Linked DNA regions of Struthio camelus. The protein of the gene in region 2 binds, or shares a complex with, the protein of the main gene of each other region. Links are inferred from orthologs where the notes say so. Each region holds a gene or a part of one and is shown on either strand. Other genes may lie near its edges.

What was found.
Region 1: SNRPD2 (region 2) and SNIP1 share a complex: the UniProt entries of both Homo sapiens proteins name them as parts of the minor spliceosome. The link is inferred for Struthio camelus from reciprocal best matches to the Homo sapiens genes SNRPD2 and SNIP1.
Region 3: SNRPD2 (region 2) and LSM6 share a complex: the UniProt entries of both Homo sapiens proteins name them as parts of the U4/U6-U5 tri-snRNP complex. The link is inferred for Struthio camelus from reciprocal best matches to the Homo sapiens genes SNRPD2 and LSM6.

Annotation. Positions count from the first base shown.
Region 1 is NC_090964.1:10,834,237-10,841,995, forward strand, and holds the start of SNIP1 (smad nuclear-interacting protein 1), read right to left. Parts: upstream 3,009-7,759; coding exon 2,824-3,008; intron 2,733-2,823; coding exon 2,633-2,732; intron 1,973-2,632; coding exon 1,389-1,972; intron 763-1,388; coding exon 495-762; 3' UTR 1-494. Other genes in the region: DNALI1 (axonemal dynein light intermediate polypeptide 1), read left to right, coding at 3,241-3,452, 3,528-3,697, 3,884-4,062, 4,336-4,500, 6,843-6,878. UniProt on the Homo sapiens protein: Required for pre-mRNA splicing as component of the spliceosome. As a component of the minor spliceosome, involved in the splicing of U12-type introns in pre-mRNAs. Down-regulates NF-kappa-B signaling by competing with RELA for CREBBP/EP300 binding.
Region 2 is NC_090957.1:2,000,949-2,008,325, reverse strand, and holds the start of SNRPD2 (small nuclear ribonucleoprotein Sm D2), read right to left. Parts: upstream 3,020-7,377; 5' UTR 2,892-3,019; coding exon 2,890-2,891; intron 1,729-2,889; coding exon 1,549-1,728; intron 1-1,548. UniProt on the Homo sapiens protein: Plays a role in pre-mRNA splicing as a core component of the spliceosomal U1, U2, U4 and U5 small nuclear ribonucleoproteins (snRNPs), the building blocks of the spliceosome.
Region 3 is NC_090945.1:34,991,120-34,998,121, reverse strand, and holds the start of LSM6 (U6 snRNA-associated Sm-like protein LSm6), read right to left. Parts: upstream 3,009-7,002; 5' UTR 2,879-3,008; exon of another isoform or gene 2,713-2,878; intron 1,295-2,712; 5' UTR 1,284-1,294; coding exon 1,190-1,283; intron 1-1,189. UniProt on the Homo sapiens protein: Plays a role in pre-mRNA splicing as component of the U4/U6-U5 tri-snRNP complex that is involved in spliceosome assembly, and as component of the precatalytic spliceosome (spliceosome B complex).

The DNA of each region.
Region 1 (7,759 bases), on a different chromosome or scaffold from region 2:
TTAGTAATGAAACTTGGTAAATTCTCCTGTCTAGATTTCTTAACAGGCATACAAATTCGGCAAATCCTACCAAATAAGACAAAATATATCAGCTAGTTTCTACCTTATTTTTCAGTTAAGTAGCATTTTCAAAGGATTATGACAAAACAGTTCATAAAAATAATTTTAAATATGCCCACTGTGTTTTACATCATTTACTAGAAGGGGATAGCCTTCCAACATCTGTTGAATATTTCCAGCACCACAGCTTTCACATCCAGGTGCTCTTTTTTCTTTGTCAGGGGAAATTAGCTTAGAAAAAGCTGAATTTCCTGATAAGCAGAACTATCCAAGATGATTAAGTCCCCAAAATAAGCTACAAGAACAGACCAGCAACAGAAGAAGGACTTTAAGGCAATAAGAGGCATCAGTGCTTCGATGCGCCAATGTTTACATCCCAATGCACGTTCTACTGCAAAGATTTTTTTTCACCCCCCCAATTTCCTCCTGATCTGTTAACTGTCAGACTCTTCCTCCTTCTCGTCCTCCTCCTCATCATCGTCCTTTGTGTTTGCCTCAGATTTATCTGAAGATTCATGGAGAAGAACATATTCCCTGCTACTGAACCCAAATTTCAACACATCCTTTTCTTTCAGTTCATAGTAACGTTGAGGTTCAATCCGCTGGTTATTTAGAAAAGTACCATTGCCAGAACCAAGGTCAATTATATAAGGCCTTACTCTGCGGCCAACTGTACCATCAGCACGGGTGTACTCCACAAGCCTGGCAAAACAAAAAGCACTATTTCAATCATAACAAGACAGACACAAAATTCCCATTTATGCAGCCACTCTAGAAGTAGATGGAGTTTTCAAAACGTTCTGTATTTTCAAAAATTTAAGCAAGCATAATGAGTGTAAGGAGGCACTCGGGATGAGATTCTGAAAGACTGCATCACCTTCTAAAACTTATGGTGATATAATACAGTAATTTGTAACACCGAACAGATGGCTGTTCCTTGAGAGCAGCTCTGTCTTCAGCAGCATACAATCCTTGCTGCTTCAAAAGGATAGCAGCAATCTTGGTTGCAAAATATTTTTACCGCTAATTACACCTGAGAGCGTTTATTCCAATTCAGATATACATCCAATTCTGCATTTAGTCCTGCTATGTTATTTGTCTTACAGGAAGACTGCTTGTGGTTAAATGGGAGAAGTTTCAAGTATTTTTGATTACTGCTAAGAGAACGTACAGCAGCCATATGTGAATTCCAGCTATCTCTGACATGAGACACTTACAGCAAACTAACACTTCTAAACTCTGTTTTGGGGTTTTTTTGTTTGTTTGTTTATAAATACAAGTTTCAGAATACTTCTGTTTCACCAGCAGGCACAGAGAATAATACTTACCGATACTGAAAGACAGCATGTTGCTTTGAGCAGGAGGGATGGTCAATAGGAATATCTGCTATTCTGCGATGCCTGCCCAGGAGATAAGCGCTCTGTCTGTGAATGTACATGACTGGAAGGAACTCATCATTTTTAAAAGGATAGAGGCGCCATCGTTTCTTTGGTATCCGAGCTTCTGGGGGCTCGCTGTACTTAATCACAACACCTCGGAAAGTGTTGGCATCTTCCAGAAGCGCACCAGACAGTTCAAAACTTGGCTTTTCTTTTTTTACAGGATCTTTAGGTTTATTATCAGATTGCCCGAGTTCTGGATTCTGGTTAATACCACTCACTTCATTCTTTTGTCGGTGCTCTCGTCTTCTCTCATTATAGAACTCCCTCTCTGCTTGCTGCTCACGAATGTTCTGAACATCCCTTTCTCGCTCGTGGCCTCGGCCTCCAGGCCTTTCATTAGGATTTTTCCTTCTGTCCGAGTGATCTCTGTGTCTTTCTCTCTCACCACTTCTATCTCGCCTGTGTTCTTGTTCTGATGGGTTTCTCTGCTTTCGTTCTTCATTTCCTCTGTGACAATGATCATCTCGTTCCTGTAATGAATAATCTCTTATAGTGGTCTATTTAGAATTAGAAGAAAAGAGAAAGGAATCTACTTTAAAGAAAAAAAAAATCACAATCTAACACATGAAAAACAAGGACTCAAAAGTCTTGTGTATTGATCTAACATAAAGTAGTAAAAAACTATTTTCTTGCTGAACTATTTGGATTCCCACGATTACAATGAGTAACACAAGCTTAAAAAAGAGAGACAGACCTGCCATCCTTCCACAGAATAAGATGCTTGAAGAGACAACTGAAAGCTAAAGGGGCTTGTACTTGACTTTCAGATATCAACAGTATTCCGGGCAAAGCAAGCAGCTTGCAGGAACAGTCCGCACAAGTGGTAAATTCACAACACGCCCATATGAACACTCAATTGCTCAGGACAGAGTTTGAAGTGGATAGCAACAGATATTGAACCTGTAAAACTTTTTTTTAAATTAGACATGACAACAACTAAAAGAAAGTAAGTCAGGAACTATTTTTCCTGCCTTCCACGGATGAATTTTGCCAGAGGAGGCTCACTCTCTCTCTCTCTCTTTCCGGGAGGCAGTGCAGCGCACAGGGCCCTAGCATCGCCTCCCCGGGAGCGCTGGCCCCCCAGACCCGCGGCAGGGTCAGGCCCCGGCGGCAGCACCGAGGCGATTTACCTGCTTGACTTTGACTGCGACGTGATGGGGGCTCCGGCTCCTCCTGCTCCGGGGGGACTTGCTTCTCCTGCCCGACGCTTTCTCCTTCCTTTTGGGCGACCTTTAAGGACAGTGGGGGGGGGGGGTGAGGGCACGGGAGCAAAGCGGGAGGCCGAGGCCCGGGCGCGACGCCGCCGCCGGGGCGGCCCTACCTGCTGCTCCTGCTCCTGCCGCCCCGGTGCGGCCCGGCCGGGCCCCGCCGCTCCTCGGCCGGCGGCGACTGGCTGCCCCGCGCGGAGCGGGAGCGGGAGCCGGAGCGCCGCGGGCTCCGCTTCTCGGCCTTCACCGCCGCCCGCCGCCGCCGCTCCCGCCGCCGCTCGGCCGCCGCCGCCTCCATGGCGCCGCCGCCGCGCGAAGGGAAGTGCGGCCGCTTCCGCCTCGCGCGCCGCCACCCGGAAGTACTTCCGCCGGGGCCGGGTGGGGGGAGGCCGGCGCCGCGCCGCCCTTCTCCTGCGCGTGCGCGCAGCCTGCTGGGCTCCCGCGCACGCGCAGCGCGCCCGCCCGCTCCCCCCCCCCGCCGCGACGCGCCGTCGCCATGGCGACAGCGGCGCGCGCGGCGAGCGGCCGCCATGATCCCGCCGCCGGACTCGCTGCTGCGCTACGACCCGCCGGTGCTGGTCAGCCGCCGGGCGGAGCGCCCCGGGCCCCGGGCGGACGGCGGCGGCGCCTCCGCCCCCGCCCCGCCGCCGCGCCCGCCCACCGGGGGCCGCCCGCCGCCGCCGCGGCCCGGCGCGGCCGCCGAGCCGGCGCGGGAGGTGCTGAACGCCATCCTGCCGCCGCGGTGAGGGGCGGCGAGGGGCGGCGGGCGGGCGCGGCCCGGCGGCGGCGGCGCTGACGGCCGTGCTCTCCGGTGCAGGGAGTGGGCGGAGGACGGCCGGCTCTGGGTGCAGGAGGTGTCGGGCGCCCCCAGCACCCGCGCCGACGTGGTGCGCCTGCAGGAGCAGCTGGACCTGCGGCTGCGGCAGCGGCAGGCGCGGGAGACCGGCCTGTGCCCCGTGCGCCGCCAGCTCTACGCGCAGTGCTTCGGTCAGTGCCGCCGCGCCGGCCGCCGCCGCCGCCTCGCCCTCTGCCCCGGCCCCGGCCGCGCCGCCGACAGCCAGCCGTGGCGCTCTGCGGCTGCCGGGCAGCCAGCGGCGGCCGGCGCGGGGGGCCGGCCTCCCCAAGCCAACGCACCTACTGCCTTAACTGTGCTTTTGTGCCTGTTGTTTAAAGATGAACTGATCCGCGAAACGACGATTAACTGTGCAGAGCGAGGGCTGTTGCTGCTTCGAGTCCGAGATGAAATCCAAATGACGATTGCTGCTTATCAGACTCTGTATGAGAGCAGCGTTGCCTTCGGCATGCGGAAGGCACTGCAAGCTGAGCAAGGCAAATCTGACATGGAGAAAAGAGTGAGTTGGGCTGTCAACCTCGTAAGGTAGCTTTCTGCATGTGATAAAGCGTAACGATTTCACGTACAAAATTTTATATAAAATCAGGTATTTCTACTTCCACTGGATGGCAGTAAAGACCATCAAGATACTTACCTTACTGTAGGGCTTAATTGTACTCCATAAATTTATCTGTTCTACCTATTGTACTGTACAACATAAAACTTGAACCTGTCTTAATTGGAAATTGCTTATTAACAAACACGATTTGAGCAATCTATACTCTTTTCCAAGATTGCAGAGCTAGAGGAAGAAAAGCGGGAGCTGGAAAAGCAAGTGACTGAACAGAAAGCTAAATGTGAAGCTATTGAAAAACGTGAAAATGAAAGGCGACAGATAGAGGAAAAGAAACACAGTGAAGAGGTCCAGTTCCTGAAACGAACAAATCAGCAGCTGAAGGTTAGGATGCATTTGTATTCATGTTCCACCTTTGAATTCTCAGTGAAATAGGAAAAATGCTCTTCTGCATACTTTACTTCCTTGCTCCGTCAGTAATTAGTCATCATGAGTAAAACTGATCATCCAAACAGCAGGTCAGATTCATTGGGCTCTAGTTATATACAAATTTGCCACAGGGATATCACAGTTTGTTCTGATAATGCTAAATCCTTATGGTCAGTTAGCAGACGCACACAGATGAACCCCAAATATAGACTTCAAATTTGACGCCCCTGGAATCTATTTATGCATAACTTGATTTTAAGGTTGTTGTAGCTGCCATCCCTTTTCAGCTACAAAAAAGAAAACTTAATAAAGACAAATGAAGAAAGTTTTGTTTCTTTGCTGTTGGCCAGAGCAGCTAAGTTTACTCCCTGATAAGAAGAGACACCATTTAAAATTAAACATTGCCTAATAAGAGCAATTGTGTATTATATGCAACAGAGACTTTTTTCTTTTATCCTTGCCTCAAAGCTTACATGAGATACACTGTACTACCAAAAGCTCAGGCATCACTGAGAGGGTGCCTAAGCCCTGTGCTTATGTATTGTAATTTAACATTCCACTTTCCTTGATTTATAAACAAGGTAAGTTACCACTTTTCCAACCCTAGGTAGAGAGGTCAACTAAAAAAAAAAGGCACAAGACTAATCTGTGGCTTACATCCTTAAAACATGTATTTGGTTATTTTATTTTCATCTCTGTGGGAGAAGTAGCATTCTCTTTCTTCCCTTACGGATGCTAGTCCTCATCATAAGGTGTCAGTTATTTCATATACAGTGGGCAGACTCTACTATAGCAGATTTTAACTACGCTACCTGGCCTGGAAAACAAACGTTGAATTATCAGTTACTGATCTACTCTTTGTATTTAGGGATCAGAGGCACCCCCGAAAGGTGTTTGAGAAGCTCTTTAATAGATGTATTTGTTGCAAATCTAAAGACAGCGTGAACTTTAGTACAGTCTGGAATAGTTACAAGAGAACCAAGTGCGCATTTGTAGTATGGATTTAACTTCTTATACATTTTTCTAATAAAACTATTTAGCCATAGGATCAAATCCCCCAGGGAAACTTGGTGGCACTGTTGTCATATTTTCCTCAAAACTTCCAATCTACATCTCACATAACCGAGCTACAGACAATAGCAAAACCTAAGGGCAAGCACACACTATTGCCTGGGTTTCTAAGCTTCTAAACATTTAAAGTGTGATTACTATATTGTAGGTAAAAGTATGTGTCCTGTTCACCTGTTGGTTGCTAACATGCTACCATGGACAATGGTGAAGCAATTTGTCCTATGGTGCTCTTGACTGGATCACTGAAATTGATTTGCATAGGACAGAAGTAATTTTGTGCATGCTACTACTCAGCAGCCAAGACACCTTCAGTTTGACAAAGACAGATTTCTTTGCTGTTGGGGGAAAAAAAAATCAGCTTTTGATTAAAGAAAAAACGTAATCAGAAACAACATTAAACCTGTCTGTCTAGAAGTTTACTTTGCACTCAGCTGCTTTCCTTATCTTTAACATTCTTACTGTTTTTCTTGTCTAAACCATTAACATCTTCAAGCCGTCTTGAACTGTTTAGGACATGAAGTGGAATAACTGTTAGATTAAAGACGTGTTGCCACTGAAGCTGTTATTCTTCTTTGAACTAGAAATATTTTAACAGCTATATATATATATATTATATATATATACACACACACACACACACACCAAAACTGGAGTTTATTTTGATGGCAGCAATATGAAGAGGACAATCTGCAAGTCCCAGAAGCTTCATATACCAAAAACTCCCTAAGCATTGGTAGCTCGCTGATCAATCTACTAATTGGGCATCAAGTTGTCTCAGTAACTGAAAAACTTGCTGTTCCCAGTTCCTTTTGTCCCAGAGTCAGAGCTTGTGTTCCAGACTGTAAAGAGCCAAACATTTAATTTAGCGAACATAGTCTAGCCTGAAATCAGAGAACTCAGACCACTGTTTCAACAGCTTTTATTTAATTTCCTTTTCAATGCTTTACATTATAAAATGAGTCTTTCATTGTATGGAACCAAGGCCAGCTCTTTTCTTCTCAGAAGGCAACAAGTGTGCATGCCAAGAATGAAAAGTTAATTTATAAAACATGTAGTAAGAAATGAAATAACCAGAGGAAAAAACCCTAGCCTATTTCTCTTGAAGTATTGCAGCATCCCTCAGCTGCTCACTTTGAATACATAACAGACAATTTATCGCTTTTCAGCAATGTGGGTTTATTTTTTAGATTAAGGCTAATTTAACTTACTGTCTCATTTGTTTTCAGGCTCAACTTGAAAGCATCATTGCACCAAATAAGTAGATTTCTTGTTGTCCTCCCGGCAGCGCTCAAAAGAACTGTCAAAGCAAGAAGTTTGCAATTAGTGAAAAAGATCTGTCTTCATAAAACAACCCTGAATTTTCACTTACCAGTAACTGAAGGCAGTGTAGTTGTATTAATTCTCCCTTTCAGTGCTGTCTAAACATTCAGCTCCTTGAATGGTGAGCCTATCTGGGACATACCTGTTGATAATATGCTACATAACCTGCAAAGCAATATACTAATAAACTTTTTTTTTTTCCACATACAAGCCTCTGTGTAAAATTCTTAACTTGAAAATGTTGTATAAACTTCAGAAACAATTACGAAATGTCTATAATTAATACAAGAGCAAGAACAACTATCCTTTATATAATCATTTTAGCACCAAGTATTCAGGTAGCAAAAAGGTAGGTCTGAATTCATTAAGATGTGTCATTAAGAAGCACATCTAGTCATGCTGCATACAAACAATTCAAGAACCAACTCACTTTATTTTTATCTGAGTCAAATATGTTTTTGAGAGGAGATAGGAGGATAAAAACCAACCTTTGTTGCGTAACAAAATTGCAGGCCTTTTATTAGGTTGCTTTTTCTCATTTGGGCTCTCTATCCCACTATCTTACGCTCTTCACATACTGCTTAACAAAGGCAAAAGCTGACCATAATCTTCCACTCTCATTGCAATCCTGCTGCCCTTAGTAGACATCAGTACTAAGGATATATAAATTAGAGATGGTACTTGCAAGCTAGATACTTTTGGATCCACACTGCAATAAGCAGGCACGTGCTTACAACTTCACTGTGAAACTTTCTTTTAATGCCTGGTAATAGGAACACTGTTCAACATCTCAAAATTAAATACAATAGTTAGGATATTTTTT
Region 2 (7,377 bases):
TTGGGGACATGGGGGAGGGACTTTGGGAAAGAGGGAGGAATTTGTGGACAGCAGGGTTCCCGGGGGGGACTTTGGGGACACTGGGGAGGATATTGGGGAGGCAAAAGGGGGATTTGGGAACCTGGGGGGGTGCCAGGAGGAATTTTGGGGACACTAGGGGGGATTTGGAGACACCCGGGGCATTTGGGGGACACTGAGGTCCTCAGGGGGGACACTGGGGTGCTGGGAGGTTTTGGGGGGGACACTGGGGAGCACTTTGGGCCACCAGGAGGAGGATTTGGGAACCTGGAGGGCTCCAGGGGAATTTGGGGACACAGAGGTGATTTGGGGACACGGGGGACAACTTTGGTGTGGCAGGAGGGGGATTTGGGAACACAGAGGGGGATTTGGGGAAGCCAGGGTGGATTTCGGGGATGCTGGGGCAGGATTTGGGGGCACCAGGGTGGGATTTGGGACACTGGGGGGGACTTTGGGGTGGCAGGAGGGGGATTGGGGAACACGGAGGGCTGCAGGGGGCATTTGGGGACGTCGGGGAAGTATTTGGGGACACTGGGGGGGACTTTGGGGTGGCAGGAGGAGGATTTGGGAACACAGAGGGCTCCAGGGGGGCATTTGGGGACGTTGGGGCAGGATATGGGGACAACGGGGACAACTTTGGGGTGGCAGGAGGCGGATTGGGGGAATATGGAGAGCTCCAGGGGCACGTGAGGACACTGGGGGTGGGGGGGAATTTTGGTGACATTGGGATTCCTGGGGGACACCAGGCTCCCGTGAGGTTTTGGGGACACCGGGGAACACTGTGGGGAGGTGGCAGGGGGATTTGGGAACCGGGGGAGGCTCCAGGGGGATTTGGGGGACACCGGGGGGGATTTGGGGATGCGAGGCGCATTTGGGGGGACACTGGGGTCCTCAGGGGGGTAGTGGGGTCATGGGAGGTTTTGGGGGGACAATGGGGAGCACTGAAGAATTTGGGGACACTGGGGGGACTTTGGGGTGGCAGGAGGGGGATTTGGGAACACAGAGGGCTCCAGGGGGGCATTTGGGGATGCCAGGGAAGGATTTGGGGACAACGGGGACAACTTTGGGGTGGCAGGAGGGGATTTGGGAACACGGAGGGCTCCAGAGGGATTTAAGGAGGCTGGGGTGGGATTTAGGGACAACAGGGACGACTTTGGGGTGGCAGGAGGAGGATTTGGGAACACAGAGGCCTCTAGGGCAAGATTTGGGGGGGTCAGGGTGGGATTTGGGGACACCAAGGATAACTTTGGGGTGGCAAGAGGGGGATTTGGGAACACAGAGGACTCCAGGGGGGCATTTGGGGACATCGGGGAAGAATTTGGGGACACTGGGGGGGACTTTGGGGTGGCAGGAAGGGGATTTGGGAACACGGAGGGCTCCAGAAGGATTTAAGGAGGCCGGGGTGGGATTTGGGGACAACGGGGACAACTTTGGGGTGGCAGGAGGGGGATTCGGGAACACAGAGGGCCCCAGGGGAATTTAGGGACGCCGGGGTGGGTTTGGGGACACCGGGGGGTGGGTGACACGGACCTGTCGAAGGCCTTGACGCGCCCCAGGAGCTTCTTGTTGTTGCGGCAGTTGATGAGCACCTGGGTGTTGTTCTTGACGGACTGGGTGAGGACGGAGAGGGGCCCCGTGTTGAACTCCTCCTCCTCGCGCTTCTGCAGCTCCTCCGGCGTCATCTCGCTCTTGGGCTTGTTGAGCAGCGACCTGCGGCGTCACCCCGCCGGGTCACCCCAGGGTTGGGGACACCGGCATGGGGGGAGGGGGGGGGGAAACAGAGGACGGGGGGAACAGGACAGCAGGGAAGACGCGCCCGGGGGGACGCAGGAGTGGGCGCAAGGGCATGAGGGGGGCACTGGGAGGGGGGGGACAACGGGGAGCGGGGACATTGGGGAGAGGGGGGAGCCCAGACCTGGTCCCCTCCCTGCTCCCGGTTCCCACCGTCCCTGGTTCTCCCCTCTTACCAGTCCTCCCCGTTTCCGGTCTTCCCTGTTCCTGGCCCCCCTCCCCCGTTCCTGTTCCCTCCTGTTCCCAGTTCCCCCTCCCCCAGTTCCCCCCCACTCCCAGTTCCCCGTTCCCCCCATTCCCGGATCCCCCATGCTCTCGGTTCCCCCCGTTTCCGGTCCTCCCAGTTTCCCCTCATCCCCGGTCCTCCCATTTCTCCCCCATCCCTGGTTCCCCCCGCTGCCAGTTCCCCCCCATTCCCGGTTCCCCCCTGTTCCCATTCCCCCTGTCCCCGGTTCCCCCCCATCCCCAGTTCTCCCAGTTCCCCCTCCCCCCGGCCCCGGTTCCCCCCCCCGTTCCCATTCCCCCCGTCCCCAGTTCCCCCCCATCCCCAGTTCCCCCCTGTTCCCGTTGCCCCCGTCCCCGATTCTCCCAGTTCCCCCCCCCGTCACCCGTACCCCCAGTTCCCCCCCATCCCCGGTTCCCCCCGGCTCCCGGTTCTCCCAGTTCCCACCCGTCCTCGGTTCCCCCCCCCCCCGCTCCCGGTTCCCCCCATCCCCGGTTTCCCCGGTTCCCCCCTGTTCCCGTTCCCCCCCCCCATCCCCGGTTCTCTCAGTTCCTCCCGGCCCCGGTTCCCCCCCCCCGGCCCCGGTTCCCCCCTGTTCCTGTTCTCCCCATCCACAGTTTTCTCAGTTCCCCCCCATCCCCGGTTCCCCCCCGTTCCCGGTTCCCCCCCGTTCCCATTCCCCCTGTCCCCGGTCCCCCCCCGGCCCCGGTCCCCCCCCGTCCCCGGTTCCCCCCTGTTCTCGTTCCCCCCATTCCCAGTTCTCTGAGTTCCCCCCGCCCCCGGTTCCCCCCCCGCCCCCGGTTCTCTCAGTCCCCCCCCCCGCTCCCGGTTCCCCCCCGCTCCCGCTCCCCCCTCACATGGCGGCTCCCCTCGCGCGTCTCCCGCTCCCGCGCGCCGCCCGCACGGATCCACTTCCGGGGCGCCCAGGAGCTACTTCCGGGGTCACGGCGCACTCGCGGGGGGAAAGAGGGCGCTGCGCATGCGCGCCGGGAGCGGGGAGGGGGGAGGGAAGAGCCGCCGCTACGGCAGGGCGGAGCGGCCAAAAGAGGCGGGGCCGCGCGCGGCCACGGCGGCAGCGCTGGGGGGGGCGAGAAACTGCCCGGAGGGGGCTGGAAACGGACATGGGGAGGCTGGAAACGGACATGGGGGGCTGGAAACAGACATGGAGGGTGGAAACGGACATGGGGGGCTGGAAACAGACATGGAGGGTGGAAACGGACACGGGGGGCTGGAAACGGACTTGGGGGGGTTGGAAACGAACATGGGAGTCTGGAAATGGACAGAGGGAGCTAGAAACAGATAATGGGGGGCTGGTAACAGATGTGGGGGTTGAAACGGGCATGGGGAGTGGAAATGGACATAGGGGGGCTGGAAACTGCCATAGGGGCTGGAATGGGCATGAAGGGGCTGGAAACGTGTATGGGGGAGTGAGAACAGGCATGGGGGGTCTGGAAACGGACATGGGGTGCTGGAAATGGACATTGGGGGGGCTGGAAACAGACATGGGGAGTGGAAACAGACATGGGGGGGCTGGAAACGGACCTCATGGGGGGCCCAGGCTGACATGAGCCCCCGCCCCCCCCCAGTTGTACCAAAGCGGGAGGGGGCGTGGGGAGGCAGCGGGCGCAGAACAAGGTGCTGGGAGGCGCTGGGCGCTGGGGGTGCCCGGAGGAGAGCAGTGCAGGGTGTCCGGGGTGGGGGGCAGTGTGTGCCAGGGGTGCAGTGTGGGGTGCCACGAGGGAGGCAGTGGGTGCTGGTAGCGCAAGGGGGCAGTGCGGGGGTGCTGAGGATGCAGTGGGGGCAGTGCAGAGTGCGGGGTGGGGAGGCAGGGGGTGCAGTGCGGGGGGGCAGCGGGTGCCGTGGGAGATGTGGGGGGCAGCGGGTGCAGTGTGGGGGGCAGTGGGATGGCCGGGGGGGGCAGGGGGTGCAGTGGGGGGCAGTGAGTGCAGTGCGGGGGGGGCAGTGCGGGGGGGCAGCGGGTGCCGTGGGTGCCCCGTGGTGACAGTGCTGGGGGGGGGGGAGGGGGGCTGCCCGGAGCGGGGCGCGGGGCGCGGGGCGGGGGGAGGTCCGAGGGGCGTGGCCTCGGGGGCGTGGCCAAGGAACGGGGGTGTGCCGGCGATGGGGGCGGGGCGGGAGGGAGGGGGCGGGGCCGGCGGTAGAGCGGGGGGCGTGTCGCGCGGCGGGAGGGGGCGTGGCCGGCAGCGGCGGAGCAGGGGGCGTGGCGCGCCGCCGGAGGCGGGAGGGGGCGTGCGGGGGCGGGGCCGGGGGCGGGGCCGGGGGCGGGGCCGGGCGGGGGTCGGCGGCGCGGTGGGAGCGGGCGCGCAGAGGGCGGCGGCGGCGGCGGCGGCGGCGCCATGGCCGGGCGGCTGGCGGCCAGGTACGGGGAGGGGGGCGGAGCCTGGGCGGCCGGGGGCGGGGCCAGCGCGGCCAGGGGGGCGGGGCCGGGGCGGGGGGGGTCCGCCCCCTCCCCCACGCGTGTGCGGGGCGTGGGGGACCGGCCGTCCCGGGGTGAGGGGGGGGCACGAGGGTCCCCGAGGGAGCCGGACGGGTGCTCGTGCGACGCACGCGTGTCCCCGTGCGAGACACACGCGTCCCCGTGCAAGACACACGTGTCCTCGTGCAAGCCAGGCGGGTCCTCGTGCGAGTCACGCATGTCCTCGTGCGAGCCAGGTTGGTCCCCACGTGAGCCACGCGTGTCCTTCTGCAAGTCACGCGTGTCCTTCTGCGAGTCATACGTGTCCTCGTGTGAGTCACGCGTGTCCCCTTGTCAGCCAGATGGGTCCCCATGCGAGTCTCACATGTCCTCGTGTATGTCACACATGTCCCCGTGCGAGCCAGGCGTGCCCTGGTGCGAGCCGGACACGTCCCCGTGCGAGCCAGGCGGGTCCCCGTGTGAGTCACGCGTGTCCCTGTGTGAGTCACATGTGTCCTGGTGCGAGTCACGCGTGTCCCCGTGCGAGCCAGGTCGGTTCCCGTGCGAGTCACGCGTGTCCTGGTGCATGTCACGCGTGTCCTCGTGCGAGCCGGCCGTGTCCTCGTGCGAGCCACGTGCGCCGTCGTGCGAGCGGCGGCGGTGGCAGCCCCTCCCCGGCCGGCGGCCGCGGGGCCGGTGCCAGGCCGGGCGCCACGCCAGGGCCGAGGCGTCGCACACGCGTGTGCGCCGGGCCGGGCGCGTGCCGCCTCGCGGGCTCGTCACGCGTGGCCTCGGCGTGTCTTGCCCGGTGACACCCCCCCCCCTCCCGCCGGCCACGGGCCTCCCCCGGACGCCTGGGCCCCTCGGACGCCTGGGTCCCTGCTTGGTTCCCCACCGGCCTTAGGTGCGGACCCCCCCCCCCAAAAGGGGGCCCGGGCATCCAGGACACCCCCCCCCGACCAAGAAGGGGCCCAGGCGTCCAGGCCACACCCCCCTCCCCAAAGCTGACAGGGGCCCAGGCATCCGGGACCCCCTCCCCACCAAGAAAGGGCCCAGGCGTCCGGGCCACACCCCCCCCAAATGTTGGCAGGGACCAAGACGTCCGGGAACCCCCCCCAAAAGGGGACCCAGGCGTCCGGGTCCCCCCCCACCAAGAAGGGGTCCAGGCGTCCGGGACCCCCCCCCTTAAAAGGGGGCCCATGCGTCCGGGACCCCCCCCCACCAAGAAGGACACCCAGACGTTTGGGCCACACCCCCCCAAACGTGGCAGGGGCCCAGGCGTCCGGGCCCCCCCCACCACTAAGAGAGGACCCAGGCGTCCGGGACCCCCCCCACCATGAAGGGGCCAGGTGTCCGGGCCACACCCCCCCCGAAATGTGGCAGGGGCCCAGGCGTCCAGGACACCCCCCACCAAGAAGGGGCCCAGGCGTCCGGGCCACACCCCCCAAACCTAACAAGGACCCAGGTGTCCGGGACCCCCCCCCTTAAAAGGGGGCCCAGGTGTCCGGGAACCCCCTTCACCACCAAGAAGAGGACCCAGATGTTTGGGCCACACCCCCCCAAACGTGGCAGGGGCCCAGGCGTCCGGGATCCCCCACTAGGAGGGGACCCAGGTGTCTGGACCACACCCCCCGAAGCTGGCAGGGGCCCAGGCGTCCGGGACACCCCCCACCCCACCAAGAGGGGGCCCAGGAGTCCGGGACTCCCTCACCAAGAAGGGACCCAGGCGTCCAGGCCACACCCCCCTCAAAGCTGGCAGGGGCCCAGGCGTCCGGGACCCCCCTCCACCAAAAGGGGACCCAGGCGTCCCCCCCACCAAGAAGGGACCCAGGTGTCCGGGCCATACCCCCGCCCCCGAAGCTGGCAGGGCCCCAGGCGTCCGGGACACCCCCCACCCCCCCTAAAAGGGGGCCCAGGCGTCCGGGACCCCCTCCCCACCAAGAAGGGGCCCAGGCGTCCGGGCCACACCCCCCCAAACTTGGCAGGGGCCCAGGCGTCCGGGACCCCCACACACACCAAGAAGGGGACCCAGGCAGCCGGGCCACACCCCCCCCAAAACGTGGCAGGGACCCAGGCGGCCGGACCCCCCCCCCAACCAAGAAGGGGCCCAGGCGTCCGGGCCACACCCCTCCAAACCTGGCAGGGGCCCAGGCATCTGGGCAACCCCCCCCCCACTAAGAGGGGACCCAGGCATCCGGGACACCCCCCAAAAAGGGACCCAAGCGTCCGGGACCCCCCCCCAATAAGGGGCCCAGGTGTCCGGGACCCTCCCCCCCAAAAAGAGGGCGCAGGCATTCAGGACCCCCCCCACCAAGAAGGGGCCCAGGCGTCCGGGCCACATCCTCCCCCCCCCTTCTCCGAACCTGGCAGGGACCCAGGCGTCCGGGCCCGCCCCATAGACCCCTCCACCCCTCCCCCCACCGGGAGGGGACCCAGGCGTCCGGGCCGGGTGGGGGGGGGGGAGGGAAGCTGCTCTCCCAAGGGCAGAGAGGGGAAGGAGCCCAGGCGTCCGGGCCCCTCCCCCCGCCGCACCCCCCCCCGGTGGGGAGGGGGGGAAGGACCCAGGAGTCCGGGGACAAAACCAGTTAGAGCCCGGACTGGTCCCAGTTAGAGGCTGGGACTGGTCCCAGTTAGAGCTTAGACTGGTCCCAGGTGGAGCCCAGACTGGTCCCAGTTAGAGGCTGGGACTGGTCCCAGTTAGAGCCGGGGGCTGCGCCGCCGGGGCTGCTCCCAGCCCCCCCGCGGGGGCCGCCCCTCATTTGCATGCATTAGCATGGCCCCGCCCCCCCGCGGGGCCCCCGGCCGGGCCCGGCGCCAGGGACAGGAACAGCCCGTTCCCGCACGCACACGGGAGCGCACGGAGGCGCCGGGGCCGGGCCGGCCACCCCGCCCCCGCACACGCTAACGCACACGCTAACGGACACCCTAACGC
Region 3 (7,002 bases), on a different chromosome or scaffold from region 2:
TCATAAAGAAAATAGTGTATGCAAAAACTAAACCAAGTTTAGCCCTGCATGCTGTGTACTTTTAAGCAAATGATGACTTGCTTTAATTGACTTTAATCAGCTGTTACTACAATCTCTTGCAAGAAAAAATTTACAAGGGCCAAAGACCGACAAGAAGCAGTGAAGTTTTTCAGGCAAAGATCCCATTCAGAAGTGCTCAGAACATGTAGTTCTCAAAGAAATGACAGATTGCTAACATCGTTGCCAGAGAGGGACACTAAAGAGGAACCAGAAGGGATCAGAAGGCCAACTGAAGCCAACTGAATTAAATCTCTGAAGCAGTGATCTGTAGCAGGTCCATAACATTTAAATCATTCCCTAATAAAATGCCTAGCTTGTGTTGAAGAGGAGATAAACCAAAACTTTTCATGTAATCTTGAATCCTACTAAAACAATCTGACAACCTGACAGTCTTATCCTAAAAGGAGTAGGACACTTCACTGAACAGCGAAGTTCTATTTACTACTTAGGAAAACTGTAATCCTACATACAGCTCAGGAAGATTTACAAATGGGCTGAAAAGTATTGGACTAAAACTGCTGGATTGCTTTGAAACACACTGGAAATATAGGAGCAGAAGTCAAACAAAAAAAGCTTTCTCCTCATTGAGATGAGTATTGATGCAACACAAGTCTAGGCAGTTGTTTAACTAAGAACTAAATAACTCCATTTCATCTCTGCTGTAAAGGTAGGCTTATGACTGTTCAGCAGTTTGGTAAGCAGTTTACTGTTCAATGCTCTTCTGGACCAAGCTATACAAGGAGTTGGAGAACTGGAAGGTGAAGGAAAAAGGTGGTTTTAACCAAGGAGGCTAGCAGAGAACTGGAAAGAGCACTGCCTGGGAATTTCAGGAATTGTAATTCAAACCAATTTCAGTTTAGAAACTTGGAATCATCTCCAGACTTCAGTCTAATCATCTGTGACTAAAGACGCTAATGATTTAGATAAGTCATTTTAATTTCTAGATCTACCTCTTTTTCATTTGTTTCTCCAGAACTGATCTTTTTCTTATCATTCTGAGATCTACATTCATGTACTCCAAGATTTTGGGTCAAACTGCTTGCTTTTACAAAGCACTGCATCTGTTCCAGCCTCCACAGACAATGAAATCATAGACTTATGATGTATGGGAAACAGAGGGAGAACTTACCTCGATAATCAACTCCAGAATTTAATTTTACAACAACTGGCCGTCCAATGATTTGCTTTAGAAAGTCACTAGGGGTTTGCTTCCGTAGACTCATCTTTATCTTCCCTGGTAGGTCGGGAAGAGAAGAAGGGAGAAGAAGCATTTGGATAAGTAACACACTCAAAAGTAGACTTTAAACACTCAATGCAGACAGGCACTCTCCTGATTCTCAAGACTCTCAGTAAGAGAAAATATCAAACGAGATAGAAGGAAGGACAGTTCCTAGAGCTATAGCGTTAAACTTTCTATTTGACATTTGTATAACTCCTGAAATTCTTGACAGGAATCCTTGATTTAAAATTATTTACCATGCTGTGCCTCTTGCAAACTTCCAATGTAGCCAAAAGCCTCAACTTCTCTTTGCTGAAATAGATTTACTAAAAATCACTGAATAATTAGTAACTGGTTCCTATCTGGGCAGGGAGGAGGATGGAGAGGAAGCCAGTACATGCTCTACATACAGAAGTCTGGGCTGAAACAAGAAAAGGGATTTTGATCTCAGTAACACCAACATGAGCAAAGAATACATTAGAAAGGATGACTTCAAAAAACTCAATTAGATTATACTAAGTTTAGAATTAAGCACTGTAATTAACTTGTGCAAAAACCTGAAAGAATGCTGTGGTTTAAAAATTCATGGCACTACATACAAGCCAAGTTTGGTAGGAGGCCCTAACTCAGTATTGCTTCCTTCTGTTTTAATGTTATTTTAAGTCATTTTGCCTAAGTAACAGCTATTCTGCATTTTAAATTAATTGTAGAAAATACTGCTAATGATGCGTTGGCATCATTACTATGTCAACCTTTTGCTGCTTGATATTTCATCAATACAAGGATTTTGAGACTTTTAATCACTTTGTACTAACATACATCTTACGGTTTCACACGTGATATTTACAGCGTAAGACTTGTTTGCATAACATAGTTTTCTGAGAAAGCACGAACATGCTCTGAAATAGCTTATACTGTACAGGTACACTGCCTGAATAGGAACAGAACTGGGCAAGATCTGCTTTCACTAGACTTACCAATTTACCTATGCTATGGATTCACAGTTTTTGCTTTTACTTGCTGCTTTTATGTGTGTTTAAAAACAACTAGAATAGCACCAAAATATACTTCGACAGCATATACACAACGGGAAGTATTTCTAAAGAAAGGTTTATGACAGAAACGCTAAATGCAATGTGAAGCTTTACAGCCACGCGCTTGTCAAAGGCAGAACACCTAAAACAACTGTCTGGCACCATACCTCCCATCACCCTCCCCCCTCCAAAACACACGGCTGGGTGCACCCAGCCGGGTTCCCAGCTCCTGCTCTAACGGCGGCGAAGAGGACGGGGAAAAGAGGAAATAACAAAATTCTGCGTGGACGTAACGGGGAAGAAAGAAAGGGGGGGAAAAAACCCTGAGCGCACGTTTGCGCACGCGTTTTGCCGTGCCGATGGAAAAAAAAAAAAACCCTCCCGGGCCGCTTTATTTACCGAATAAGCTCGCTGCCTCGCTACGCTGCTCTGAGGGGAGACACCCGTCAGCGCCCGGCCCAGCTCCGCGACCCCGAGGTGCCCGGTCGAGGTGCCCGGTGGAGCCGCCCGGGGGGGGGGGGGGGGGGCTCCAACAGCCGCGGCTCCCAACGACCGCTCCACTCACCCGCCGCGCGCCGCCGCTGCCGCCGCCCCTTCCCGCTGCTCGAGGCCGATCAACACCGCCCCGCTACGGCGCGGCGGCCGGGACAAAACGCGCCCGGCTCGAGAGCGCGTTTGGCAAGGCGACGGTAGGCGCGGCCGGGAGGCGTGGGGGGAGGCGGCGCCTCCTCGGGCGGGCAGGCCCGCCGCCCGGCGCCCTTTCACCTGTGCCCCTCTTCCCCCCCCGCTGACCGTTGAGCCCTGGCCGTTGACCGTTAGTTAGCCGTTAGCCCTTGGGAAACGCGGCCGGCTCTGCCCTTTCCTATGCTGGCAGCGTCCGAGACGAGCGTCCCAAGCGCTGGGAAACCAGACCTGTTTACGACCAGCGTATCGTGAGCAGGTTTGGCGACGCTGAAAGTTGAACTCCTCTCTTTGCGGTACAGGGACCGAGCGTGCAGGCCTCTTAGGCTGCTACGTGCCTCAGACTTACTTTGGAGGAACCTATTTCTAGCTGTGCCAGGTTAGTTGCTAGCACCCAATAGTAACTATTTTTTTTTTTTAAACACTCCCAAGAAAATACTGTAAAGGGCCATTGGTTATAGTGTTTTTCCTATTACGTTTTTTGAATAATCAGAGTTGCTTTCACAAAACTACAGATGCAAAGGTCGATACAGAAGGCAGTTGGTCATCACTGGATGAGCAAGGATACCCGCTGTCTGTTGTCTCCCCTCTGTCTAGTTTGTCCAAATACACAGAACTTCATTTTTCTCTAGCTACGTCGTCACTCCTGCTCGTGATATATGTCAGTCCTGTGACCTGGAAAGCTGAAGTGGTAATGACCCTCTTTGCATTTTTCCAAAGCATGATGAAAAGTGGAATCTTGGGCACGTTTCAAGTTGTTCTTGCACAACACTGAAAGACAAAGTTTCCTACCTTCTGATCTGAGCTGTTTTAAGAAGGGACCCTAAAAGCTTCATCGTAAGATGTCCGCACCTTCAACTCTCATACAAAAAAAGCCTACCAGAAAATAACCTGTAATAGTTCTCACTTCTCCTTCCCCTTTAACTGTGATTGTAATTTTTGCTTCTTTCATTAACACAGACTAATGCATGAACCTGAACAGGGGCATGGGGGGCCCAATTATCAGAACTCCAGTCTGTGTCTTTTTCATGATCGGTTGAAAGTAACTCAGGCTACAGGAGGAAACTTCTTAAATCTGAGGTTATTTTAATAGATTACTCCATTTATGTTTTATATTATGAGAAATTCTGTCTTATTAAAGGCCATAAGTCTCATCTGTTTTAGAATTATGACAATGCAAAGGCGTTATTGATTTCTCGTAAAACTCCTCCAAAATCTATCTGAATGTTCTGCAAGTGATTCACCTTTAGAATCTACTGATACTTTATTACCTAAATTCTGATTTGTTAATGTAGATGCATTTTTTATGTCTTGCTCATATTTATACCAGAAAGTAATGTCTCATTGATTTCTTATGGGAAAATGATATGATCCAGTATATAATTCTGTTCTACTATAATGAGATTCCATTTATTCCCAAACGATCTTGTCCTACATAGGCCTTATTAGATTTCGGTGTAGGGATCCTTACAAAAACTCTAGATAGGAAAGTGTTGTTCAATACATTTTACAGGTGAATTAATGAATGTAGAAACTAAGTGATGTTTTCCAGTGTTGCCTGAATAGAATATGACAAAACGAGAAGTCAAACTTCTGTCTTCTACTTCTCTCCTCACCTATCTTCTCCCCTTTCCCCCAGCTATCACCATAATGTCTGGGAAGTCCTTTCTTTTTTAGGGATTTAGTACCATGACAGGAGTTAATTTATCTGTGAAAGCCTCTGAACTGGATTTTTTATTCTTCCATTATTGATTTAATATCTTAGTAAAACTATTAATTCTCGTGATACAAAGAAAATACACTATGGCTTTTCAGAGCATGCATTAGTAAATGTCTTCCTCTCTTGCTTCTAGAATTGTTTTATGTTCTCTTTTTTAACGCGTTTGGTAACATTTCTTTTTTTTTTTTTCCCAAAAGCTTAGGCTAAAGGGCTGTAAAAGGCAAGGTCTGCAGACCCAATAAAGTTCACCTTACTGTCCTAGAGTTCAAGAACAGTCATAGTTAGGAAAGTAGGGCCACATTGTGACCGTGTTGCCGGGCAACCATCATATTAATCAGGAGCATCCAACTGTGCTTGATTATATCTAGTACTTGAAGCAGAAAAGGAACCTAAAATAGTTACTACAGGGAGCAGGCTTACAAAGTTTAATTTGGCCACCAGGCTTCAGTGCATAATATTTTGATGAGAAAGTATCCTGTTTTTCATTATTATTGATCTCTGTGATAAAGACTGGGCAACTAGATTTCATGCCTGGGCTGGTAAATTTTCATAACAATTTTGCAAGTCTGGCTAGGCATATTTTGTGATTTAGGAGCCTTCCTTTTTTGTTTTACTTCTGACAGATTTTTCTTTGCAGCTTGCATTTCCTTTTTGCTAGTCTCTGCTGAGCTGTTTTACCTGCTGCCTAACAGGCTGCTTTCTAGTTAGGTTAGGTAGTAGCTATAGCTTGTGTGTATATGGATATTTTTGTTGTTTGGTGCCAGTCAGCAAAATCTTTGCAATTTCCTACTTGGTACCTTATTAAGCTTATAAACATGCCTATTTTAAGTCACGAGAATTGAGTTTGGTAAGAGTTTTGTATCCTTAACTCCCCTCATTCATGGCTTGAGGTCAAGTCAGGAACCCAAATCCTAATTTTCTGTGGTTTGCTTTAAGTTTTGAAACAATCTCACAGGCTGCTCTTAGTGGTGAATTGACCTTTGTGCAATAAGATGTATATTTCTGAGCAGTTTGGTGTAGTGTGATTTGCACCTGGAAAATTCCTTTCTTGTACATTTGGAAAGATTATGTAATAACATCTGTTAATGCGCAACCCAGAAAATGTTATATTTCCTGAATGACAAAATCAAAATGACCTCAGGAAGGTGGTCTTCAAAGGGTTTAAGTAATCCACATTCAATGGAATCTCTGAAGATTTCAAAGCTTCAAGAGTGAAAATAAAATTAAGACCTCATTGGCTAATGAGGTCTATACTCACTCATGAATTCTATACTTGTTTGTTTCAGTCATCTAGATGGAAAAGGATTTAGATCTTAAGTTTTCGCATGGTTTGCTATCAGTAGAATCCTTTAAATACCGTATTGCTTTATCCTCTCATAGTATACTACGATAGAGCTTTTTCAGCTTTATAACTCACTGAAATCAGTGAGATGCTGCCCTTGCGTTTTAATCAAGATGAACTTGAAAGGTGAACATTGTAAGTGGTAGAAATTATTTATAATTTGGTAATAAAAGTTTATGTCTAACACTCCAAATTTCATACATCTGCTATGTGCTGGCCTTGAGATATAGAACAATTGCAGTTGCCTTTACATTTGGCCTTAGATGAAAGGTCATAAATTACAATGATTGAGTTCATAGTCATTCCCAGCTCACAAAATTTCCATATTAACATCTTCACCTCAAACATAAATGGTTACAAAGTTACAAAGAAAAGAGTTGTGTTGGCCTTTGTCAACTGAATTTAATGATGGAAGTCGGTGGAACGTATACTATTGCTAACTCTTAAATGTGAAGCATTGCAGAATCTTTGTTCGGAGGACCTAATTAAAACTGTACAGTTAACTTCAAAAATGAAATGGGATTTGACAGTCTCGCTCTTTCTTTTTAATGGAATGAAAACTGCTTCAAAGTTAGGAAGGTTTTTCTTTCCCAGCTACTTGAAATAAAAATATTTCCATAGAGCAAGATGGCTATATAACACAATATGTTAAAAAGATTGTCCAGCTCTTCTAGTTCTTGTGAAGAGAACCTTACATAAGTTAAATGCAGATGAACAACAATCCAGATGGCAAAAGAATGTCTGTGGCCGACTTTGAATTCGACCTAAGTAATCCCAGGCTGTAATCCAGTGGATGATAAAAGAAGACGTAGTAAACAATTGTCATCTGAAAATTAGGTCACAGAGGACAAACCTACTCTGGTCAAAATCATGGCTTTTGCCCAGATTTTAACAATCAGATTTGGTACCTCCTTAGATTAGAAAGAAAAAAAAGTCTGAAAAATAT